Linked DNA regions of Xenopus tropicalis. The protein of the gene in region 1 interacts with the protein of each later gene in a pairwise test. Links are inferred from orthologs where the notes say so. Each region holds a gene or a part of one and is shown in the gene's direction. Other genes may lie near its edges. The genes, in order: tmem159, gad2, cacfd1 and coq8a.

Evidence for each region.
Region 2: the proteins of tmem159 (region 1) and gad2 interact in binary tests that used the Homo sapiens proteins (3 or more experiments, as listed by UniProt). The two-hybrid records come from large-scale screens. The link is inferred for Xenopus tropicalis from reciprocal best matches to the Homo sapiens genes LDAF1 and GAD2.
Region 3: the proteins of tmem159 (region 1) and cacfd1 interact in binary tests that used the Homo sapiens proteins (3 or more experiments, as listed by UniProt). The two-hybrid records come from large-scale screens. The link is inferred for Xenopus tropicalis from reciprocal best matches to the Homo sapiens genes LDAF1 and CACFD1.
Region 4: the proteins of tmem159 (region 1) and coq8a interact in binary tests that used the Homo sapiens proteins (3 or more experiments, as listed by UniProt). The two-hybrid records come from large-scale screens. The link is inferred for Xenopus tropicalis from reciprocal best matches to the Homo sapiens genes LDAF1 and COQ8A.

Annotation. Positions count from the first base shown.
Region 1 is NC_030685.2:24,678,836-24,684,796, forward strand, and holds the start of tmem159 (promethin), read left to right. Parts: upstream 1-2,514; 5' UTR 2,515-2,590; exon of another isoform or gene 2,591-2,626; intron 2,627-5,961. UniProt on the Homo sapiens protein: Plays an important role in the formation of lipid droplets (LD) which are storage organelles at the center of lipid and energy homeostasis. In association with BSCL2/seipin, defines the sites of LD formation in the endoplasmic reticulum.
Region 2 is NC_030682.2:25,292,541-25,298,384, reverse strand, and holds the start of gad2 (glutamate decarboxylase 2), read left to right. Parts: upstream 1-2,460; 5' UTR 2,461-3,364; coding exon 3,365-3,440; intron 3,441-4,042; coding exon 4,043-4,102; intron 4,103-4,288; coding exon 4,289-4,447; intron 4,448-5,701; coding exon 5,702-5,844. UniProt on the Homo sapiens protein: Catalyzes the production of GABA.
Region 3 is NC_030684.2:5,078,975-5,084,717, forward strand, and holds the start of cacfd1 (calcium channel flower homolog), read left to right. Parts: upstream 1-1,766; 5' UTR 1,767-1,872; intron 1,873-5,149; 5' UTR 5,150-5,280; coding exon 5,281-5,404; intron 5,405-5,743. Other genes in the region: adamts13 (A disintegrin and metalloproteinase with thrombospondin motifs 13), read left to right, coding at 1,004-1,192. UniProt on the Homo sapiens protein: Transmembrane protein which mediates synaptic endocytosis and fitness-based cell culling.
Region 4 is NC_030681.2:7,741,072-7,746,993, reverse strand, and holds the start of coq8a (atypical kinase COQ8A, mitochondrial), read left to right. Parts: upstream 1-2,121; 5' UTR 2,122-2,265; exon of another isoform or gene 2,266-2,269; intron 2,270-5,922. UniProt on the Homo sapiens protein: Atypical kinase involved in the biosynthesis of coenzyme Q, also named ubiquinone, an essential lipid-soluble electron transporter for aerobic cellular respiration.

The DNA of each region.
Region 1 (5,961 bases):
TGAAATGCAGAAATATAATGTAAATTGAAATAGTGCTTTGAAGAGCACTGTGGGCAATTTTAAGTGTACCTTTATTTCTTCATATTTCCTTTAATAGAGCATTTCCTATATTTTAAACAGGAAGTAAGGAGGTGTAGCGCATTTTGGCCACCGGCCCACTACAGTACCCCCCTGAGAGGTGTGCCATAACCCAAAGCTCTCATTATACCACATTAAAATTAGAAGGAATGTTTAAAAGCTACCTTTTGAACTGCTTTATTGAAAGTTTCCTTAAAAATTTATTTAGCACCAGCCAGCCTTTTCACTTTCTGCTTTCCCAGCCAGTATAAGAAAAATGGCAGCACCCAGTAATTTGAATTATAGAATGCCAGTCAATTCCCAGTATCATTGGCTGATGATGATAGTGTTTTCACAAATGCTATATTTCCCCTTTAAAATCATATTTGTTGTAAACTTTTACTGCCAATGGCTCTAAATTGTTCTGTGGCAAGGGTCGTGGATCAACCTACCAGCTGGAGGCTGCACAAGAACAACAAAAGCTGCCTAAAATTAAAGTTATATCTTCCGCTGGCTAGAAGGCTCTTCCATGTATCTGTCACTGCGTCTGTAAAAAAGTTTTTCCCATTCATCTTTCAACCCTCCAACTTTAGACTGTATTCTATGATTTCAGCCATTATCTTCTTCTAACCTCTTAATCCCTATCTCATCAGGTCTATTAATTGAGCTGCCTTAGACTTTTCCTAAAGGTCAAATGATATTCAGTAACAATTGATCGCTTGGGCGTTTTCTGCCAGAAAAAAAAACAGCTAGATTAGTGTGCTTTAATTAGGAGGAAGAAGACACCATCAATCTTCCAGGCTAACAGCAAAAATACACTATAGGGAGTACATTATGTACCCTGCTCGTGATCTACTCCTGTAATGTGGCTGCTAATGTGGCTGTAATACTACAAACTTTAGTTTCTACTAACTAATATTGCCACCTGGGAAAAAATAACATTAAAGTGTTAAAATATAATGTGATCTGTCCCTTTCTTAACATGTATTGTAAGAAGGAAATATCTAACACATTTTGCCATAAAAAAAACTTCCAAAGCAACAAAAAATAACTCAAAAAGTATAACTCCTTAAAAGCTGAAATCAGTTTGTTGACCAGAACTTAAGGGTGCAGAATAAAATTACTTTATTTTGCCACACACACAGTCCTATTTTGTCACAGCTGAAGTAGTACTCACTCTACTTACCCAGTAGACTGCCTAGGGTTTCTCTGCTACACTAAACTTGATTCCCTAATGGTGAATCACACCAAGAGTACTAACCCTCTGAATATGTTGGCGCTTTATAAATAAATGTTAATAATAATAATAATTCCTTGGTCAGTGCTTCAGGTTTCCATATTAAAGGAGACATATTGGATAAATGGGAAAAACGCTTATTTTGTAAGCAATTGTGAATAATATACGCTGCTGGTTTCACTTTGTGCTAAAAATTAATCCTCTCTGTAAAAATGGCCCCTTTATTGGAGCTTCCTATAGATCGTATCACTTCTACGTCCAGTGTGAAATGAAGAGTGGGCGTGTCCTAACGGTCCCTGCCAGAAGCAGAGTAGGAGGGGGATAGCAAATCACAGCCCTGCGCTCACACAAGCACAGACAGGCTTCAGTTCCCTATCAGGTCAGCCTAGCTGCTGATTGGTTCCTATCCTACAGAGGCTCCCCAGCTCATCCAGAGAATTCAGGCAGCAGGAAGTGGAACAGATGGGCGGGGCTAGTGGGGTTTTTGTGGAATTTCACAATAAATCAGTCAGAAACACAACTTTTTAAGCACAATCCTTCTATATCTAGAGGAGTATAATTCATTGGTACATTCATAATTTTTATAGGATATGTCTCCTTTAAATCCCTGCAGCTATTTTTTTATTTCACTACTCTTAGAGGTAGATTTATGTATGTGTGAAATTAGAGGTCACCACAGATAAATTCTTTCTATTCAGTCCTATGGGATTTTTAGAAGCACATTTATTAGTGGGTAAAAGTTCGAATTCACAATTTGATAACTGAGCTTCCATTAGGTGCTGCAGATCAGCACTGAAAATCAGCCAGACTGAACTACTGGCTAACCCCGCCCCCATAAACCTGAGGCTAGGTAACCCTAGTTCTTTGTATTCACATTATATGTGTGTTTTCCTTGATAGGATACAATACAAGCACACCGGACTGCTCTGTCAGAAGATCCCCAAGTGGTACAGAACAACGCCATCAGGCCGCATAGGCTTTGGAACGGAGATGGGGGGGGGGGGCGTTAAAACTTCTGGCAGGGAATAGGACTAAACTGGGAAAAAGATTGAATGCCAACCCGCACCCATTTCCGCTAACCTAACTCCGCTGTTACAAGCAAATCCTATACGTTTATTTAAGTGCTGCTACTGCTGCAAGAGAAAAGCCAAATGCAGAAGCTTCCTTGCCTCTGATTAGTCACAGTGAATGTCAATCATTTTTTGATCCAATTAGTTTTTGCTCTTTTAGATGGGCAGTCCTGGAGAGAGCACAGGGGAAAGGGAGGGGACTGGGTGTAGCAGAGACAGAGAAAAGGCAAGTTCACCCGAAGGAAAGCGTTTCAAGTTACAAGTATGTGGCACCAATTGAGCTGTGTGTGTGTTTTAGTGACAGTGGAGCAGGAAAGGCAGCTTTTGTGTGCAACTTCATTGCTGATTAGTTCTGGTTTTTACTAGTAAACCTGCAGTCGTTTGCCAGGAGCAAGGGGGCATAATAACTCTGCACAGATACAGGAATGAAATAAATGAGCACATTCTGTTGTTATTATTATGTAGGGTTAAAACATTTCTCTGTTCCACCCCCACCTCTGCCAGGGACCCCTAATGAACCCAAAGCATAACATTATCTATGGGACTGGCCAAAGGCTTTCCCATGACAGTGTTCCTTTAAAGGAGAAGGAAAGTCATTTTGGTATTTTGCTGCCAATAGATTTGTCACATTAGTGCCACCTAGAACCTAGTTTTTTTAACTGCTGGGGTCAGCGACCTCTGTTAGCAAGAGGCAGAAGACATTACATTACATTAACATTTATTTATAAAGCGCCAACATATCCCGCAGCGCTGTACAATAAGTGGGTTTCATACATTGGACATACAGAGTAACATATAAAGCAATCAATAACCGATACAAGAGGTGAAGAGGGCCCTGCCCAAAAGAGCTTTCAATCTACAAAGACAAAGGCAAATGTTTAAAAACTATAAAAAATGAAGACCAATTGCAATTTTTCTAGGAATAGGACATTCTATAATGTAGTAAAAAGTTAATGTAAAGGTGACCCACCCCATTATAATGCTATGCTGATTAGTGTACATAGATATCCACATTCACTGTTGGGGAGGGGTCAGCTGTCCTGATGATTTGCCATAAGTTAACTGTGATATAATATAACTACACAAAGGAGAAACAAAGTTGTGGGCCTGTGCTTTGGGACAGTTGGGTGCCAGCAACACCCTTGCTGGTACACCGTATCACTTTATGTTACTTTATAATCTAACTGGCAGGAGGCAAAGTTGCATGGTGACCAGTTTGAATCAGCCTTATCACTGCAGTCAATGTTGGTTTTTTTTTTAAATCAAACATATGGGCTCATTGCCTTTCACTGTATATAATCTCTTGCGGTGCCAGAACACCCTGCCCATCATTTTATATAATGTAGTTAAGGTGTCAGTACCCACTGCTTTTACTGTGTGTAATATGTTTGGTGGGACAGTACCCATTTTGTCTATGTTCTTGCATGTCCGTAAACACTTTCCCTTCATATATATATATAATGTACTTGCGATGCCTCTTACTGTATATAATGTACTTGGGTATCATTACCCAGGACCTATCATTGTATATAATATACTTTTGCTGCTAGTAGCCATTTGTTTCAGTTTATGTAATGTACCTTGGATTGACAGTACCAATTGCTTTTTACTGTATAATCCACTTGTTGTACCAGAACTGTTCACTGTATAATGTATTTGGAGTTACTTTTTTATTTTATATTGTTTTGGGGTGCAGGATCTACTGATTTCATTGTATTGTTGTACCAGAACTGTTCACTGTATAATGTATTTGGAGTTACCTTTTTATTTTATATTGTTTTGGGGTGCAGGATCTACTGATTTCATTGTATTGTTGTACCAGAACTGTTCACTGTATAATGTATTTGGAGTTACCTTTTTATTTTATATTGTTTTGGGGTGCAGGATCTACTGATTTCATTGTATTATATGATGGTGATTGCATTGCCCATTTATCTTACACTATAACATGCTGGACATTACATTGACTGTTTACACCAGCTGTCTGCCTGGCAGTAATGCTTCCATTACATCCTAGATCTTAACACCTGTGGAAATGTGACATCTTTTTCATCCCTTCCACCATGCTGTTAGTGACAATTCCCACCATACAGCATTAAAAATGATTCTCAGAAGTTTCAGCCCTCAGGGTTGGAAATATAACTAGTGCAGAGTTTGTTTCAGTTTGCTTCAGCAATACAAAGCAAGCAACCAGCCAGCTGTACTTAAAGTAATCTTAATATCAGTTTGTTGTGGGTTATTAGAACTGGAGCAACATTCGTTTTTTCTACATTTTACCTTAAGGCTTGTAAAGACATGTGTTATTGAGGGTGTGACTTCGGACAGTGGGTGTGGCTTTGGAAAGTGGGCATGGCTTAATTTTTTCACCATACGCGCATAGCACACCACATATACTCCCCTTTAGGCCCCCCCGCCCCAAAACCATCTTCTGCTGCCTATGATCAGGCCTACTGTATATATAACATTATATCATATATTTATTTTCAAATTCAAATTGCATTGTGATCAATCTATCATCTGTCTCTCTAGATACCTACATGATTGCCCAGGGCCCAACCCACCAGCAAGTATAAGATGTGAATAGTTAGTAGGGCAAAACAGACCGGGAACAAAAGGCTATCAGGGTACAGCATAGCTTCACATCCACACTGCCCTAACTTTAGATTAGGTTGATATGCAAGTGCCCAGTCTGGCTGCCCCCAATATTTTGCAATATTTTGTGCTCACCAATAACATTTATATCCAAATTACTTTATACATTTAGTTAAAAGTTTTACCAACTAGAAAAAATTAGACCCCATGCCTCCCCAAATAAGGGAAACTGTTTTCTGTAAGTATAACTAACTATTGTCCAATCCTGCAGCATGATTAAAAAACCCTAACCCATAAAACCAACAAACATTAGCCAATACTGGAGGGGCCCAAAAAGTGATGTAACCCAATAAACATATTATGTATTCACATAACGCGAACTACAACCCCCAACATGACAACAAGTCTAAGTTGGGATGTTTAAGTCCACAAATACATAAATGAATGATGATTAAATATATTGGGATATCACATTCTGTTCATTAATTAATGTTCATTAACCCTTTGGTGGCGGTGTGTTGTGAATTACATGCAGTACATCTGACTTCCGAATCCAGGATCCTATTTGTGACAAATGTATTCAGTTCACATCTGTTCAAATGGTAGATATTCACTATATAAATATCCAGTTCCTATGCAAGGTGCTCAGATAAATTAAAGTGCATAATACGCCCGCATCAGCGAATACAAATATTGTTTACATCGGTTTGAGAACTCCGCCAGGCCAAACTCCAGTGACTGCGGTAGTGCGCTAATTTATCTCAGCATAAGATTTGTCCAAGGATCCTCTGGAACAAGTATATAATCTGCGTGTCCATCCAACCATACCAGGGAAAAAGAGAGGGGGCCCACCTCTTGATGGCATTTGTTACCACCTCGACGATTGTTTTGCCATTACAATGGCTTTATCAATAGGATCCTGGATTTGGAAGTTTGATGTATTGCATCCTATTCACAACACACCACCACCAAAGGGTTAATGCACATAAATAGTGATGAGCAAAT
Region 2 (5,844 bases), on another chromosome or scaffold:
TTGCGACAGCATCACTCAGAGGTCCTTACCATCTGCAGAGAATCCATTATGAATTAATTCCTATAATTACCTCCTTGGGGCTGCTTTGTTACAGGCCCAATGGGACAAAAAAAACACATTTTGGGTGGGGGGGGGGGGCAAAAATAAAAAGCTACTGTAAAACACCAAGCACATGAGAATTAGTTCATGTTAATGTATTTATATCTATCTATCATCTATCTATCTATCTATCTATGTATCTATCTATCTATCTATCTATCTGTCTATCTATCTATCTATCTATCTATCATCTATCTATCTATCTATGTATCTATCTATGTATCTATCTATCTATCTATCATCTATCTATCTATCTATCTATCTATCATCTATCTATCTATCTATCTATCATCTATCTATCTATCTATCTATCTATCTATCATCTATCTATCTATCTATCTATCTATCATCTATCTATCATCTATCTATCATCTATCTGTCTGTATGTCTATCTATCATCTATCTATCTATCTATCTATCTATCTATCAATCTCTCTATCTATCTATCTATCTATCTGTCTGTCTGTCTGTCTGTCTGTCTATCTGTCTGTCTGTCTGTCTGTCTGTCTGTCTGTCTGTCTGTCTATCTGTCTGTCTGTCTGTCTGTCTATCTATCTATCTGTCTGTCTGTCCCTCTATCTACCTATATACCTGTCTGTCTATCTCTAATGTCTTGTCTGCCCATGTAGCTCGCTCTTTATCTTTATAGAGACAAAGAGACAGATAGATTGACAGACAGACAGAATTATCATAGAGAGATAAATGGATAGAGACATACAGATTATGGAATGACAAAGGGATACTGGCAGATGTTAGACAGATAGATGATAGATAGATAGATGATAGATAGATAGATAGATAGATAATAGATAGATAGATAGATAGATAGATAGATAGATAGATAGATAGACAGACAGACAGATAGTATAGTATATAGAGTATAGTGAGATAAGCAATATAGGGAGATATCTATCTGTCTGCCTGTCTGTCTATCTCTACCAGTCTGCCTGCCAATGTAGTTTGCTATTTATCTTTAGATTTAATGTATGTGTAATGCTTTTTTTAAATGTAGAAAAATGTAGTGCTCTTTTAATATATCATAACAAAAAATCTATTAAATCAAATTAACTAATATGTGTTTCTTGTAGCACTGAAAGAGGTTAGTCCTTGACACCCACTCCCTTTCTAAACCCCAAGCCCTGCCTGCGCTTCCGTCTATCTCCCTCCATCCCTGTTCCATCATGTGTAGAGCCAGTGGGGCAGAGGAATGGCAGAAGTGCCCGCGGGGCCCCATCTCGAACTGAGTGTATAAATCTGTTTTAGCCTTGAATCCCACGCTCTGCTGCTCGCCCAGCTTGAAACTGCACAAATGATCCCTACGTGACGTTTCTAATAAAGTCTGCTCCTGGCATTTTCAGCTTCCACATACATGATGTTGGGGGAACTCTTATCCTTTATATGTTCTAGTATCCATAATATGTTCCTTAATATATAATATAATATTTTCTGTTACAAAAAAAATAATTAAAAAATTAAAAAAAAAAAAATATATATATATGTAATATACATTACATTTGTATTCTGATCTTATTTTTGTAAATACAATCTCAACAGAATTGTAGCATCTATAGGTTTAAATCCATACAAATACATATACATATCCTACATCCACTTTGGTAAGGGAGAAAGACAACACAAATTATTATTATTTTTGACACCAAGAAAGGCACCAAAGCCAGAAGCAGCAACTGCCCCATTAATGCTTAAACCCAATAGAATTGCATGGCTTTCTTAAAAATTAGAGAGAAATTGGGGGAAAAAAGACATAATTGTGTGTGAGATGAAAAGAAAGAGAGGATAAGAGATAATGTGAGCCCATATACATACAGCTCAAGCAGGAGAGGAATTAGTTATAGTACATAGCACCATACCCTGTTCCTGACAGTATTTATATATATATATATAATTATACACTAGGTTAGAGTAATGTATATGAATATAAAAGGCTTGGCACAAGCAATGCCACAGAAACCCCTTTGGCGAATGTTCCCAAATACAGGGAAACAGAAGGACAGTGGCTGCTTTTCCATTTATGTGGCTGGATGAGCTAATGTTCCGCACCGTGAGCACAGAGCCAGGACTATTGTAATGTGAGAGGTTGGGGGGCCCCTGGGGAGCCTCCTGCTCACTAAGCAGCCATCACTATGTACTAAATAGCCCTAAGTAGCCCAAGTCCCAAGGCACCGGTTTAAATCCACTGCGGTCACAAATTAAAAAGACTTGTTATGGCTTCATCCGAAAGGAAAAAGTGAGGCTCATGTAACTACTGAGCAATAGGAAATATACAGACGCCCATTAACGCTGCTAGTAAAGCGCTTATAACCAGGTAAGGCTGATTCACTGCTGCCCCGGCGGTTAATGCAGTCGCTGCTACAAGCGATTATTCAAGGCGTGTGATGCAAAAGCGTCTTCCCCTATGAGTCATCTGTGATCTGTTTCGGTCTCCCATTGAGTGTGTGTGTGTGCCCCTCTGAGATCCGCTGCAATCTGCCAGCCCAATAGGTAGGTGGGAGCGATCAGGGAGGGCAGATAGCGGCTGCCAGTGGGAGTACATTGGGATCTGCTTGAGAGAAGGAGCAGTTTCAGCTTTCAGCACCGCGGAGAGTTCCAGCCCCTCAGCCCTACTGCCACCTGCCCGGCCCTCCGGCTCTTGTTTCTCTCCTCTGCTGCTCTAAGGGCTCCATCTGCTGCCCTATACCTGCCCGGCCCTCCGGCTCTTGCTTCTCTCCTCTGCTGCCCTATACCTGCCCGGCCCTCCGGCTCTTGCTTCTCTCCTCTGCTGCCCTATAGCTGCCCGGCCCTCCGGCTCTTGCTTCTCTCCTCTGCTGCCCTATACCTGCCCGGCCCTCCGGCTCTTGCTTCTCTCCTCTGCTGCTCTATACCTGCCCGGCCCTCCGGCTCTTGTTTCTCTCCTCTGCTGCCCTATACCTGCCCGGCCCTCCGGCTCTTGCTTCTCTCCTCTGCTGCTCTATACCTGCCCGGCCCTCCGGCTCTTGCTTCTCTCCTCTGCTGCCCTATAACTGCCCGGCCCCCCGGCTCTTGCTTCTCTCCTCTGCTGCCCTATACCTGCCCGGCCCTCCGGCTCTTGTTTCTCTCCATCTGCTGCCCTATACCTGCCCGATCCCCCCGGCTCTTGCTTTTCTCCTCTGCTGCTCTGGGGGCTCCATCTGCTGCTGATTTCTATGCTCCGGTCCAAGCCATTTTGCAGCCACCACCTCGCTGTCAGTTGGCTTCTCACTTCGGGGCTGTGAGATCGGGCACTCGGATGGCTTCTCCTGGCTCCGGATTTTGGCCCTTCGGGGCAGAAGAAGGGAATAAAGAAGCTGAAAACCCCGGTACAGGTAATGGGATACTGACATGTCCGTCTAGGGATGAACCGGGGTCGGTGACCCCTGAATGGGCAATGGTTGTTGGAGTAGGGAGACCGGATCACTTGCACATTCAGGGACAGATCTAAAAGATCCAGCTAGTAGGGCTGAACAGATTGCAGTTTCATTCAAACGCACTGCCCTGCAACATGTATTCATTAGATGTGTCCCTGATCAGGTCACCCTATGCTGGAGTGTAAGCTCATCGGCCCACTGAAGAAATGGGAAACAACCACAATTTATCTCAGTCTATAGAATGGGGAATTCTCTTATTAACTTCCCATTATCTACACAGCAGTCCTCTTAATGTATAGACTTAATTACCCCTATTATTGTGGCTTGGGAAGGAATATTTAACGCTCTATATTTTTATAGACATTTTCACTAACAACAGACCCTTCTCTGTAATCGTTTAATGCCCCAAATAAGGAGGATTTGGTAAATGAGCGCTAAATGTAGCATGGCGCATAGTCTTGTCTGTAACACCCGCTATTTGCTGTTTAATATTCCGGATCAGTACAGTTACTCTCCCTGCGTTACTGTCGGTATCATTTCGCTCTTTGTGTCTGTTTCAGCCAAGGCTTGGTGCCAGGTCGCCCAGAAGTTTACAGGAGGAATCAGCTCGAAATTGTGTTGTGAGTAAATGAACTCAGAACGAAATCGATACATATAAATCGTATATACACAGTGTTTGTGTCAGTATTCGTGTTGTGTATGAATATGGATTCGTATTGGAAAATATGGGAAACATTCTGTTGCTGTTCTTTCCAATGATATTTTGTGTTTTGGTGCCAATGTGACCCCTTTCTGTTCCCTGGCAGCTTTACTCTATGGAGAGGGAGAGAGAGCTCCGGGCTCTGTGGGCAAGAATGAGAAGGATGAGCTGGGCTCAGGGGAGAGGGGAATGGCATGTAACTGTGACACAAAGGCTTGTGGCTGCCGCAAGGGAGAAGCCAATTTCTCCTTATTATACTCTACAGGTACGTGCCCATCCCCAGTACTAACTGTCTGTCTGTCTGTCTGTCTGCTTATCGTTTATCTATCTGTCTATTATCTGTTTAAATCCTAGTATCTCTCTATGATCCATATATCTCTATCCATTTCTCTCTTTATAATTAATCTATCTATAAATTATCTTCATATATCAGTTTATCTCTCGATAATCTATATGTCTATTCGTTCATCTCTCTAATTAATCTATCAAATCCATCTATCTATGTACCTTTTTGTCTGTCTGCCTGCCTGTTTATATCCTTTTATCTCTCCATACTATATATATATATATATCCGTTTCTCTCTTTATAATTATTCTATTTATTTATTTATCGATCTATCTCTATCATCTATATATATTTTAGATGCCTCTAATCATTAAGGTCTCTGTAATTAATCTACAAATCTATCTATATTTATCGCATCTAACACTATCTATTTCTATTTATCTATCTATCTATCTATCTATCTTCTATATACTGTATCTATCTATCATCTATCCTCAGTCTATAATCTATTTATCATCTATCTATCTGTCCATCATCTATCTATCTATCTATCTATCATCTATCTACCTGTCTATCTGACCATCCTTACACCTAGGACGCTAATGGAAAGCCATTATATATATTTATATATATATATATATATATATATATATATATATATAGATAGATAGATAGATAGATAGATCGATAGATAGATAGATAGATATTTATGAATTTATATATATATATATATATATATATACACACACACACAGATAAAAAAAATGTCGAATAATAATTATTGCTATGTTACTACATTAACAGAATTGTTAACATAGTTTTAAAAGACACACTCGGTTCATCTACTTTGTCCCGTTCGGTTCTGAATATTTGTTAATCCCGCTGAGATTCCTTTCGCCCAGCAGATAAAATCTAACAGGGGAGATTAGGGGAAGCGACTACACAGCTGATAGATTTGATGCGACGCATCTTATCGGACTTGAAGTGTTGCATTCGTTTATCCCAAGCTCAGGAAAATATGTCAAACCCCAAAGGGCGACTAACAAGTCCAAGGGAGCGAATAATAACCTGGCGATTCGGAAGTGTAAACACAAGAGCGACTGTAGTTTTGATCTGTGTGAAAATCGCACCGCGATCTGTGAAAAACGCGCAGCTTCGTTTGTTTTCTAATTATTTTGTAGGAAAAATATATATATTTGTTTTAATATTTCGCCTCCGAATTTTGTTTTCCAGACCTGCTCCCTTCTAAAAACGGGGAAGGGGTAACGATGACTTTCCTGCAGGACGTGATAGACGTTTTACTGCAATATGTCGTGCAAACTTTCGACAGGTCCACAAAAGTGATTGATTTCCATTATCCCAACGAACTGCTACAG
Region 3 (5,743 bases), on another chromosome or scaffold:
CCCCCCAGTCCGACCCTGCACCTCCCCCAATCTGACCCTGCGCCCCCCAGTCCGACCCTGCACCTCCCCCAATCCGACCCTGTGCCCCCCAGTCCGACCCTGCACCTCCCCCAATCTGACCCTGCGCCCCCCAGTCCGACCCTGCACCTCCCCCAGTCCGACCCTGCACCTCCCCCAATCTGACCCTGTGCCCCCCAGTCCGACCCTGCGCCCCCAATCCGACCCTGCGCCCCCCAGTCCGACCCTGCACCTCCCCCAATCTGACCCTGCGCCCCCCAGTCCGACCCTGCACCTCCCCCAGTCCAACCCCGGGCCCTGCACCCCCCAGTCCGACCCTGCACCTCCCCCAATCTGACCCTGTGCCCCCCAGTCCGACCCTGCGCCCCCCAATCCGACCCTGCGCCCCCAGTCTGACCCTGCACCTCCCCCAATCCGACCCTGTGCCCCCCAGTCCGACCCTGCACCTCCCCCAATCTGACCCTGCGCCCCCCAGTCCGACCCTGCACCTCCCCCAATCCGACCCTGTGCCCCCCAGTCCGACCCTGCACCTCCCCCAATCTGACCCTGCGCCCCCCAGTCCGACCCTGCACCTCCCCCAGTCCAACCCCGGGCCCTGCACCCCCCAGTCCGACCCTGCACCTCCCCCAATCTGACCCTGTGCCCCCCAGTCCGACCCTGCGCCCCCCAATCCGACCCTGCGCCCCCCAGTCCGACCCTGCGCCCCCCCAGTCCGACCCTGCGCCCCCCCAGTCGGACCCTGCGCCCCCCCAGTCCGACCCTGCGCCCCCCCAGTCGGACCCTGCGCCCCCCAGTCCGACCCTGCGCCCCCCCAGTTCGACCCTGAGCCCCCCAATCCGACCCTGCGCCCCCCAGTCCGACCCTGCGCCCCCCCAGTCCGACCCTGCGCCCCCCCAGTCCGACCCTGCGCCCCCCCAGTCCGACCCTGCGTCCAACTAAAAATCAGGCAGAAATCGGTTCCTTATTATTTGCTTTTCCCCCTCAGATTCGGGACATGAAATCGCTCAAATCCACGGGATTCCATGGGAACCACTTGTTCTACTGGGAGTCGGCGGGGAGTCGGGCGGAAATAGAATTTCATGGCGATTTCTCTAAGGACCGAGTCAGTTTCCGGGCGCAGTACTGGGCGCGGGCACCGAGGCTACAGGGCAGGGGGCGCCCCCCGGTGGAATGACGCCCGATACACCATCGCCACGGGAACCTATATAGTCACTGTAATCGCTCATTATCTGTTTGTTTCTAAAGGGAAAGCTTAAATATATTATTTATATATGCGCCTCCGTGTCCCCGTTATTACTGACCCGCTATATCCCACAGCGCCGGGGGTGTACGTGGGGAATACAGGGTAAACGGATTATATATCTATGGGTTCTGTCATTTCTGGCACTAAACAAGGATATGAAGCCACATTAGCACTTCCTGATCCAGAAGAACTAATAAATGTAATCACCAGTCCACTGAAAAGCCCCTGATAATAAGCTGCTCAGAGGGCGCTGCTTATAGACAGTTCAGAGGCAGATAAGGGGTTAACCAATTGCCCTGTATATATATATATATATAGTAACTGTTACACTGTAGGGGAGAGAAGCTACAGGGGAAGGACAGAAGGAATAAATAAGCCGAAAATCCCTTAATGGGAGAGTTTTTACCTCAGGGAAAGGCCCGCCCACCTGGGGCAGAGGGACACGCCCACACAACGGGACGCTATGGCGGGGGGCGGGCTCACTGCGATGACCTCATTGCCAGGGTCCCGCCTCTCTGCCAAGAGGTTTCCCTCCCACAATGCAGTGCGGGCCGGAGTGACGTGGAGTCCCTGGGTCAGACCGGCGGAGAAGGAGCCCGGATAGCGGGGCGGTGAGTGCGGCGGGGAGGGTGCGAGGGGCTCCCGGTACCGGACTCCGGTTCTACTGCAACTTCTCTGGGCTTGGGGGGCGGGGCGTAACGGTACCGAGTGTCACAGCAGAACAAAGGGCTGGGGGGGGGAGGGGTTACAGAACAATAGGGGGGGGCACACAGGGCAGGGGTATATAGCACAATGGGGGGGTCACACAGGGCAGGGGTATATAGCACAATGGGGGGGGGGGCACACAGGGAAGGGGTATATAGCACAATGGGGGGGTCACACAGGGCAGGGGTATATAGCACAATGGGGGGGTCACACAGGGCAGGGGTATATAGCACAATGGGGGGGCACACAGGGCAGGGGTATATAGCACAATGGGGGGGCACACAGGGAAGGGGTATATAGCACAATGGGGGGGCACACAGGGCAGGGGTATATAGCACAATGGGGGGGCACACAGGGAAGGGGTATATAGCACAATTGGGGGGCACACAGGGCAGGGGTATATAGCACAATGGGGGGGCACACAGGGCAGGGGTATATAGCACAATGGGGGGGCACACAGGGCAGGGGTATATAGCACAATGGGGGGGCACACAGGGCAGGGGTATATAGCACAATAGGGGGGCACACAGGGAAGGGGTATATAGCACAATGGGGGGGTCACACAGGGCAGGGGTATATAGCACAATGGGGGGGCACACAGGGCAGGGGTATATAGCACAATAGGGGGGCACACAGGGAAGGGGTATATAGCACAATGGGGGGGGCACACAGGGCAGGGGTATATAGCACAATGGGGGGGTCACACAGGGCAGGGGTATATAGCACAATGGGGGGGGCACACAGGGCAGGGGTATATAGCACAATAGGGGGGCACACAGGGAAGGGGTATATAGCACAATGGGGGGGTCACACAGGGCAGGGGTATATAGCACAATAGGGGGGCACACAGGGAAGGGGTATATAGCACAATGGGGGGGTCACACAGGGCAGGGGTATATAGCACAATGGGGGGGCACACAGGGCAGGGGTATATAGCACAATGGGGGGGCACACAGGGAAAGGGGTATATAGCACAATGGGGGGGGCACACAGGGCAGGGGTATATAGCACAATGGGGGGGGCACACAGGGCAGGGGTATATAGCACAATGGGGGGGGCACACAGGGCAGGGGTATATAGCACAATGGGGGGGGCACACAGGGCAGGGGTATATAGCACAATGGGGGGGCACACAGGGCAGGGGTATATAGCACAATGGGGGGGTCACACAGGGCAGGGGTATATAGCACAATGGGGGGGGGTCACACAGGGCAGGGGTATATAGCACAATAGGGGGGCACACAGGGAAGGGGTATATAGCACAATGGGGGGGCACACAGGGCAGGGGTATATAGCACAATGGGGGGGCACACAGGGCAGGGGTATATAGCACAATGGGGGGGGCACACAGGGCAGGGGTATATAGCACAATGGGGGGGTCACACAGGGCAGGGGTATATAGCACAATGGGGGGGCACACAGGGAAGGGGTATATAGCACAATGGGGGGGCACACAGGGCAGGGGTATATAGCACAATGGGGGGGCACACAGGGCAGGGGTATATAGCACAATGGGGGGGGGTCACAGGGCAGGGGTATATAGCACAATGGGGGGGCACACAGGGCAGGGGTATATAGCACAATGGGGGGGGTCACAGGGCAGGGGTATATAGCACAATGGGGGGGGTCACACAGGGCAGGGGTATATAGCACAATGGGGGGGGGTCACAGGGCAGGGGTATATAGCACAATGGGGGGGCACACAGGGCAGGGGTATATAGCACAATGGGGGGGGTCACAGGGCAGGGGTATATAGCACAATGGGGGGGGGTCACAGGGCAGGGGTATATAGCACAATGGGGGGGCACACAGGGCAGGGGTATATAGCACAATGGGGGGGGTCACACAGGGAAGGGGTATATAGCACAATGGGGGGGGTCACACAGGGAAGGGGTATATAGCACAATGGGGGGGTCACACAGGGCAGGGGTATATAGCACAATGGGGGGGGCACACAGGGCAGGGGTATATAGCACAATGGGGGGGGGTCACACAGGGCAGGGGTATATAGCACAATGGGGGGGGCACACAGGGCAGGGGTATATAGCACAATGGGGGGGCACACAGGGAAAGGGGTATATAGCACAATGGGGGGGGCACACAGGGCAGGGGTATATAGCACAATGGGGGGGCACACAGGGAAAGGGGTATATAGCACAATGGGGGGGGCACACAGGGAAGGGGTATATAGCACAATGGGGGGGGTCACACAGGGAAGGGGTATATAGCACAATGGGGGGGTCACACAGGGAAGGGGTATATAGCACAATGGGGGGGGCACACAGGGCAGGGGTATATAGCACAATGGGGGGGGTCACACAGGGCAGGGGTATATAGCACAATGGGGGGGCACACAGGGCAGGGGTATATAGCACAATGGGGGGGCACACAGGGAAAGGGGTATATAGCACAATGGGGGGGGGCACACAGGGCAGGGGTATATAGCACAATGGGGGGGTCACACAGGGCAGGGGTATATAGCACAATGGGGGGGGCACACAGGGCAGGGGTATATAGCACAATGGGGGGTTACACAGGGAAGGGGTATATAGCACAATGGGGGGGCACACAGGGCAGGGGTATATAGCACAATGGGGGGGCACACAGGGCAGGGGTATATAGCACAATGGGGGGTTACACAGGGAAGGGGTATATAGCACAATGGGGGGGCACACAGGGCAGGGGTATATAGCACAATGGGGGGGCACACAGGGAAGGGGTATATAGCACAATGGGGGGTCACACAGGGCAGGGGTATATAGCACAATGGGGGGGGGGCACACAGGGAAGGGGTATATAGCACAATGGAGGGTCACACAGGGCAGAAGATATATAGCACATTGTTGGGGGGGGTTACACAGGAGTAGAATATGTATAGATGGGGGGGGCACAGTGATTAGTGAGGATAGGAGTGAATGGTATAGTAGGGGGGCTCATAGAACAGGCAGTAATAGTCCAGGTGTGAAAAGGGGGGGGTGCAGTAACACGGGGCAATAAGGGAGTGGGGGGGGGGGTGTATCGCTCAGGCATGGGGTGGATATTACACTATGGGGCCGGGGCGTGGGGTACCAAATGAGCTGAACTTGGCTCAATAGAGGGAAGGTGGGGGGACCCCCGGAGAGGGGTTGGGGGGCAGCTGAACCCACGTGTGTAACTGTATCGCTTGTGTTTCTGTGCCACTAGGAGGCGCCTCGCTGTGAGCAGAATGCTGAGCCCAGTTTAGCTCTCACTGAGATCAGAACCACTGTCCCTAGAGACCCCCAACAGCCTCTCCCCCCGGGACCCCAAGGCATTGGCTGGAAATCTAGAGAGAGATGAGTTCGGTGGAGCCCGAGAGCGCGCCCCAAGAGACCGCCGCCGCCGCCGCGTCTAAGGATGATGGCATGACCTGGTGGTACCGATGGCTCTGCAGGCTGGCCGGCATCTTGGGGGGCTTCTGTAAGTACCAGTCTCCTATAGCCCCCCCCCCCGGGTCCGACCTACCCTCATCTCGCTGAATGCCCCAGGCTTGGGGTACTTACAGCTCTTCAGCTGGCTCTTCAAGGAACTCTGAGTATCACTCATGTATTATAAGGGATACTGTACCCCCTACTGTAAATGATAAGGATATTAGCAGTCACTGAGGGGTTCTGTGCCCCCCATATAAAGGCACAAGGCTGCAGGCTGAGTTATACAGGGAACTCTGAGTATCACTCATGTATTATAAGGGATAATGTACCCCCTACTGTAAATGATAAGGATATTAGCAGTCACTGAGGGGTTCTGTGCCCATATAAA
Region 4 (5,922 bases), on another chromosome or scaffold:
TCCCTGTAACAAAGCTAAAGTGGGCGTGGGCCCATACTATACCATGGGCACTGTATATAATATACTATATCCCTGTAACAAAGCTAAAGTGGGCGTGGGCCCCATACTATACCATGGACACTGTATATAATATACTTTATCCCTGTAACAAAGCTAAAGTGGGCGTGGGCCTGTGCTATACCATGGACACTGTATATAATATACTATATCCCTGTAACAAAGCTAAAGTGGGCGTGGGCCCCTTGCTATACCATGGACACTGTATATAATATACTATATCCCTGTAACAAAGCTAAAGTGGGCGTGGGCCCCATACTATACCATGGACACTGTATATAATATACTATATCCCTGTAACAAAGCTAAAGTGGGCGTGGGCCCATACTATACCATGGAAACTGTATATAATATACTATATCCCTGTAACAAAGCTAAAGTGGGCGTGGGCCCCATACTATACCATGGACACTGTATATAATATACTATATCCCCGTAACAAAGCTAAAGTGGGCGTGGGCCCCATACTATACCATGGACACTGTATATAATATACAATATCCCTGTAACAAAGCTAAAGTGGGAGTGGGCCCATACTATACCATGGACACTGTATATAATATACTATATCCCTGTAACAAAGCTAAAGTGGGCGTGGGCCCCATACTATACCATGGACACTGTATATAATATACTATATCCCTGTAACAAAGCTAAAGTGGGAGTGGGCCCCATACTATACCATGGACACTGTATATAATATACAATATCCCTGTAACAAAGCTAAAGTGGGAGTGGGCCCCATACTATACCATGGACACTGTATATAATATACTATATCCCTGTAACAAAGCTAAAGTGGGCGTGGGCCCCATACTATACCATGGACACTGTATATAATATACTATATCCCTGTAACAAAGCTACAGTGGGCGTGGGCCCCATACTAAACCATGGACACTGTATATAATATACTATATCCCTGTAACAAAGCTACAGTGGGCGTGGGCCCCATACTAAACCATGGACACTGTATATAATATACTATATCCCTGTAACAAAGCTACAGTGGGCGTGGGCCCCATACTATACCATGGACACTGTATATAATATACTATATCCCTGTAACAAAGCTACAGTGGGCGTGGGCCCCATACTATACCATGGACACTGTATATAATATACTATATCCCTGTAACAAAGCTACAGTGGGCGTGGGCCCCATACTATACCATGGACACTGTATATAATATACTTTATCCCTGTAACAAAGCTAAAGTGGGCGTGGGCCCCATACTAAACCATGGACACTGTATATAATATACTTTATCCCTGTAACAAAGCTAAAGTGGGCGTGGGCCCCATACTAAACCATGGACACTGTATATAATATACTATATCCCTGTAACAAAGCTAAAGTGGGCGTGGGCCCCATACTATACCATGGACACTGTATATAATATACTCTATCCCCAGTAATAAAGTTTAGGTGGGCCCCATACTAAACCATGGACACTGTATATAATATACTATATCCCTGTAACAAAGCTAAAGTGGGCGTGGGCCCCTTGCTATACCATGGACACTGTATATAATATACTCTATCCCCAGTAATAAAGTTTAGGTGGGCCCCATACTAAACCATGGACACTGTATATAATATACTATATCCCTGTAACAAAGCTAAAGTGGGCGTGGGCCCCTTGCTATACCATGGACACTGTATATAATATACTCTATCCCTGTAACAAAGCTAAGGTGGGCGTGAGCCCCCTGCTATACCATGGACACTGTATATAATATACTCTATCGCCAGTAACAAAGCTAAGGTGGGCCCCTTGCAATACCAAGGGAGCTGCACATAACACGCTATACCTCAGCAAAGAGTCGGGGCGGGGCCAGCGGACAGGCCAAACTGCACAACATGTTGATGTTTCTAACGCAGCACCTGGGAGACCCGCCCAACGCGCCTTCCTATTGGCTGTACCTCGTGTTATTGAAGGCTGATTGGCCTCACCCACATTCTGTTCCCCTTCTGCATTTGACTAACGCGACTGACTGACAGCTGCAAGGACAAATCACACGCCAGCTTTCAGTTGATTAGCCAATGAGGCGGAGGAAGGCGTGAGTGTGGGCGGGACAGCGTGCGCTGGTAGGATGGGTGCGCGCTGCTGGTAAACAGTCCGGACCGCGTGTGAGACTGAGAAGCAGCGAGAGGAACCGCGGCACCGACTCCCCGGGGCTTCCAGCACGGCTAGCGGCGCCCAGGCAGGTACTGGGGCTCTCCGTAGCGCTGTGCGGGGCGGGCCTGAGGCGCCTCAGCTGTGTGTGGGCAAGTTTGTCCGCTGTCTCATTGTAATGTCCCGTCTGGCACCCCGTATATTCTGGGCTGCTAACGGGGAGATCAAGCCGCCAGCTTAAAGGGGAACTCGTCCCAATATAGGGGCAGGTCACTGGGGACTATGTGAGGAAACAGGGACATGTGAATGGGACTGTAAGGGGTGTGTGAGAACTTGGGGCGCATCATTAGGGGTATAGGGTGTATGTGGGGTAGCAGGGGGCAAGTGTGGGGTAGCAGGGGGCAAGTGTGGGGTAGCAGGGGGCAAGTGTGAGAAGCAAGGCTCCTCTGTTAGTAGGCAGGGGGCAAGGAATTGGGGAGGTAGGGGCAAATAATTGGCGGGGGCAAGTAACTGGGGCATATGTGGGGGGGAATAACAGGAGGAATGTGTGTGGGGGGGCAAGTAATTAGGGGCATTTGTGAGATGAAGGATTGGTAAGTATTTGGGGTTGATGTGAGTAGGCAGGGGGCAAGGAATTGGTGTTTGTGGGGAGGTAGGGGCAAGTAACTGGGGCATATGTGAGGGGGGCAAGTAACTGGGGCATATGTGAGGGGGGCAAGTAACTGGGGCATATGTGGGGGGGGCAAGTAACTGGGGCATATGTGAGGGGGGCAAGTAACTGGGGCATATGTGAGGGGGGCAAGTAACTGGGGCATATGTGAGGGGGGCAAGTAATCGGGGAAATAGGCATGGGGTGAGTAGGCAAGGGGCAAGTTAGGGCATGTGTGAGGGAAAGCAGGGGTTAATTGCAAGCTGTATGTGAGATGGGCCGCGTTTCTCCCAGGGGCAAATAACTGCGTGTGTGTGTGTATATGTGTGTGTGTGTATATGTATGTGTGGGATAGTAGAGCGGGTCAGTAAGCTCTTGGGTCCATGGCAGTGACCAGCCCCCGGATTTAGGCATCAGTTCTGAGTAATTAGGGGGTAAGTAGCTAATGTAGGTAAGCTAAGGGGGGGGGGGGGGTCCAGGGCTGCTACTGGGGAAACAGGGCCCAGTGAGTGGCTATTGATCAAGGGCACATGAACTGGCAGTTTATTGGGGGCTCTCAGTCGGCCATTGCAATACAGAAAGGCCAATGAAGCCTTGTGCCTAACGATCTATTGTCCCCCCCCCGTGTTCCATATGGTATTAGTGCGAGGGACCCTATAACCCAAGCGCATTGCCAGCTGCACCCTCTGATAGTGTCAGGGGTCACAGTGTGTGCGGCTGCATTTGTTGCGCTTGGTCGTTATGTCTGTGCCCAGCGTGCAGCCCAGGCTGAACATATGGAAAGGCGCTTGTGTTCCCTTGGCTGTGAGTAAGTGGGTGTGAGTGTGCAGCACAGCGGCCAGCGGGACCTAATGCTCCTCGTGTGCAAATCTCCTTCAGAGTCGGATATTTCCCTTTCATTATTGCTATATATTCTCAGTAGTCACAAACAGCCGTGCATGCAAACAAATACTCTATTGGTGCTGAGTAAAGCAGCTGAAATGTTTCTCCCATGTGAGAGTCTTTAATCAAATATTAATCAATATTTAACCCCGCGCATTCCTTTTGTTTTGCTTAAACATTAAGCCGTGGGGTTGGTTCCTCAGCCTTTCTAAACTTGCTTTTCTCAGTCTCTCTGCTAGTTTACCCTGCATTTTCAAATACGTTTCAAACCTAATATTGTTAATTTATATTGAAAGTTGCTTGCAATTTAAAGGACATGTTAACCCCACAAATAAGTTTTTGCCTAATAAAAGGAAACATTATTCTAATATGGAGTTATTATTTTTCAGTGTTTTAATAGTTACCTGTAAATGTAATTGCTATCGAGAGCAGCATTTGCTGAACTCCTGGTTGTTACTTTTTATACATTGTTGCAAAGGTCGGTCTCCCCCCAGGGAGTCAGGTCTGTCAGGCTGCTGCCTTGTGTTACACTGTTTCAGGGGTCAGTCTCCCCCAGCGAGTCAGGTCTGTCAGGCTGCTGCCTTGTGTTACATTGTTTCAGGGGTCAGTCTCCCCCAGCGAGTCAGGTCTGTCAGGGTGCTGCCTTGTGTTACATTGTTTCAGGGGTCGGTCTCCCCCAGCGAGTCAGGTCTGTCAGGCTGCTGCCTTGTGTTACACTGTTTCAGGGGTCGGTCTCCCCCAGCGAGTCAGGTCTGTCAGGCTGCTGCCTTGTGTTACATTGTTTCAGGGGTCGGTCTCCTCCAGCGAGTCAGGTCTGTCAGGCTGCTGCCTTGTGTTACACTGTTTCAGGGGTCGGTCTCCCCCAGTGAGTCAGGTCTGTCAGGCTGCTGCCTTGTGTTACTCTGTTTCAGGGGTCAGTCTCCCCCAGTGAGTCAGGTCTGTCAGGCTGCTGCCTTGTGTTACTCTGTTTCAGGGGTCGGTCTCCCCCAGTGAGTCAGGTCTGTCAGGCTGCTGCCTTGTGTTACACTGTTTCAGGGGTCAGTCTCCCCCAGCGAGTCAGGTCTGTCAGGCTGCTCCTTGTGTTACACTGTTTCAGGGGTCAGTCTCCCCCAGCGAGTCAGGTCTGTCAGGCTGCTGCCTTGTGTTACACTGTTTCAAGAGGGAAAAGGACAAACATTACTTCTAATATCAATTATATATACAAATAACTCAAAAACCATTACGAATTTGTGATGAATGTCTATTGCAAAGTTGCTTAGAATTTTGCTTTCTTTTCTTATGTTCTGTGTTGACTTGTCCTTTACTTTCTTTTCAAATAACTAGAGATCCCTGTTAATGTATGTGACTCCTGTGCAGCAGGTTGCTGGCTAGTCGGATTAAAAACAAAGCGTCACTAGTGCGTATTGGCAGAAGGCTGCTTGCAGGTAAAGTGCCGCTGTGCCTGCTGGGAAGGGGTGCGGTTGGTGTTTATAAGGAGAAGCTGTTGAGCAAGGTGCCAGGGTGAGGCGTTCGTAGTTACCTGGTTTTCTAGGTAGCACTGCTGGATATCTGGGGCATATATGTCATTATCTCTATGTAAAGGCCTAGTGGGGGGGGGGGGGGGGGGAAGCCTTGGCTGGTGACAAGATTTATTCACCCGTTAATTAAACAGTACCTGCTATCGTTATTTACTGTGGTCACGGTCAGTAATTTATGGCACTGTCATTAAAAGCTGAAGTTTGCATTTATGGTTGGAAACCATGTACTAGTTTCTTATACGGTCTGTCAATTTCATATTTATCTAGGGGAGTTTAAGCAGCAGTCCTCCCTGCTTTATGGCTGAGATTCTAGCTATCTGTATAACAGAGCATTCTGTCACAGTGGCACAGATCCTATCTGATCCCTCCCATTGTAAGCAGCAGTCCTGCCCTGCTTTATGGCTGAGATTCTAGCTATCTGTATAACAGAGCATTCTGTCACAGTGGCACAGATCCTATCTGATCCCTCCCATTGTAAGCAGCAGTCCTGCCCTGCTTTATGGCTGAGATTCTAGCTATCTGTATAACAGAGCATTCTGTCACAGTGGCACAGATCCTATCTGATCCCTCCCATTGTAAGCAGCAGTCCTGCCCTGCTTTATGGCTGAGATTCTTGCGATCTGTATAACAGAGCATTCTGTCACAGTGGCACAGATCCTATCTGATCCCCCCCATTGTAAGCAGCAGTCCTACCCTG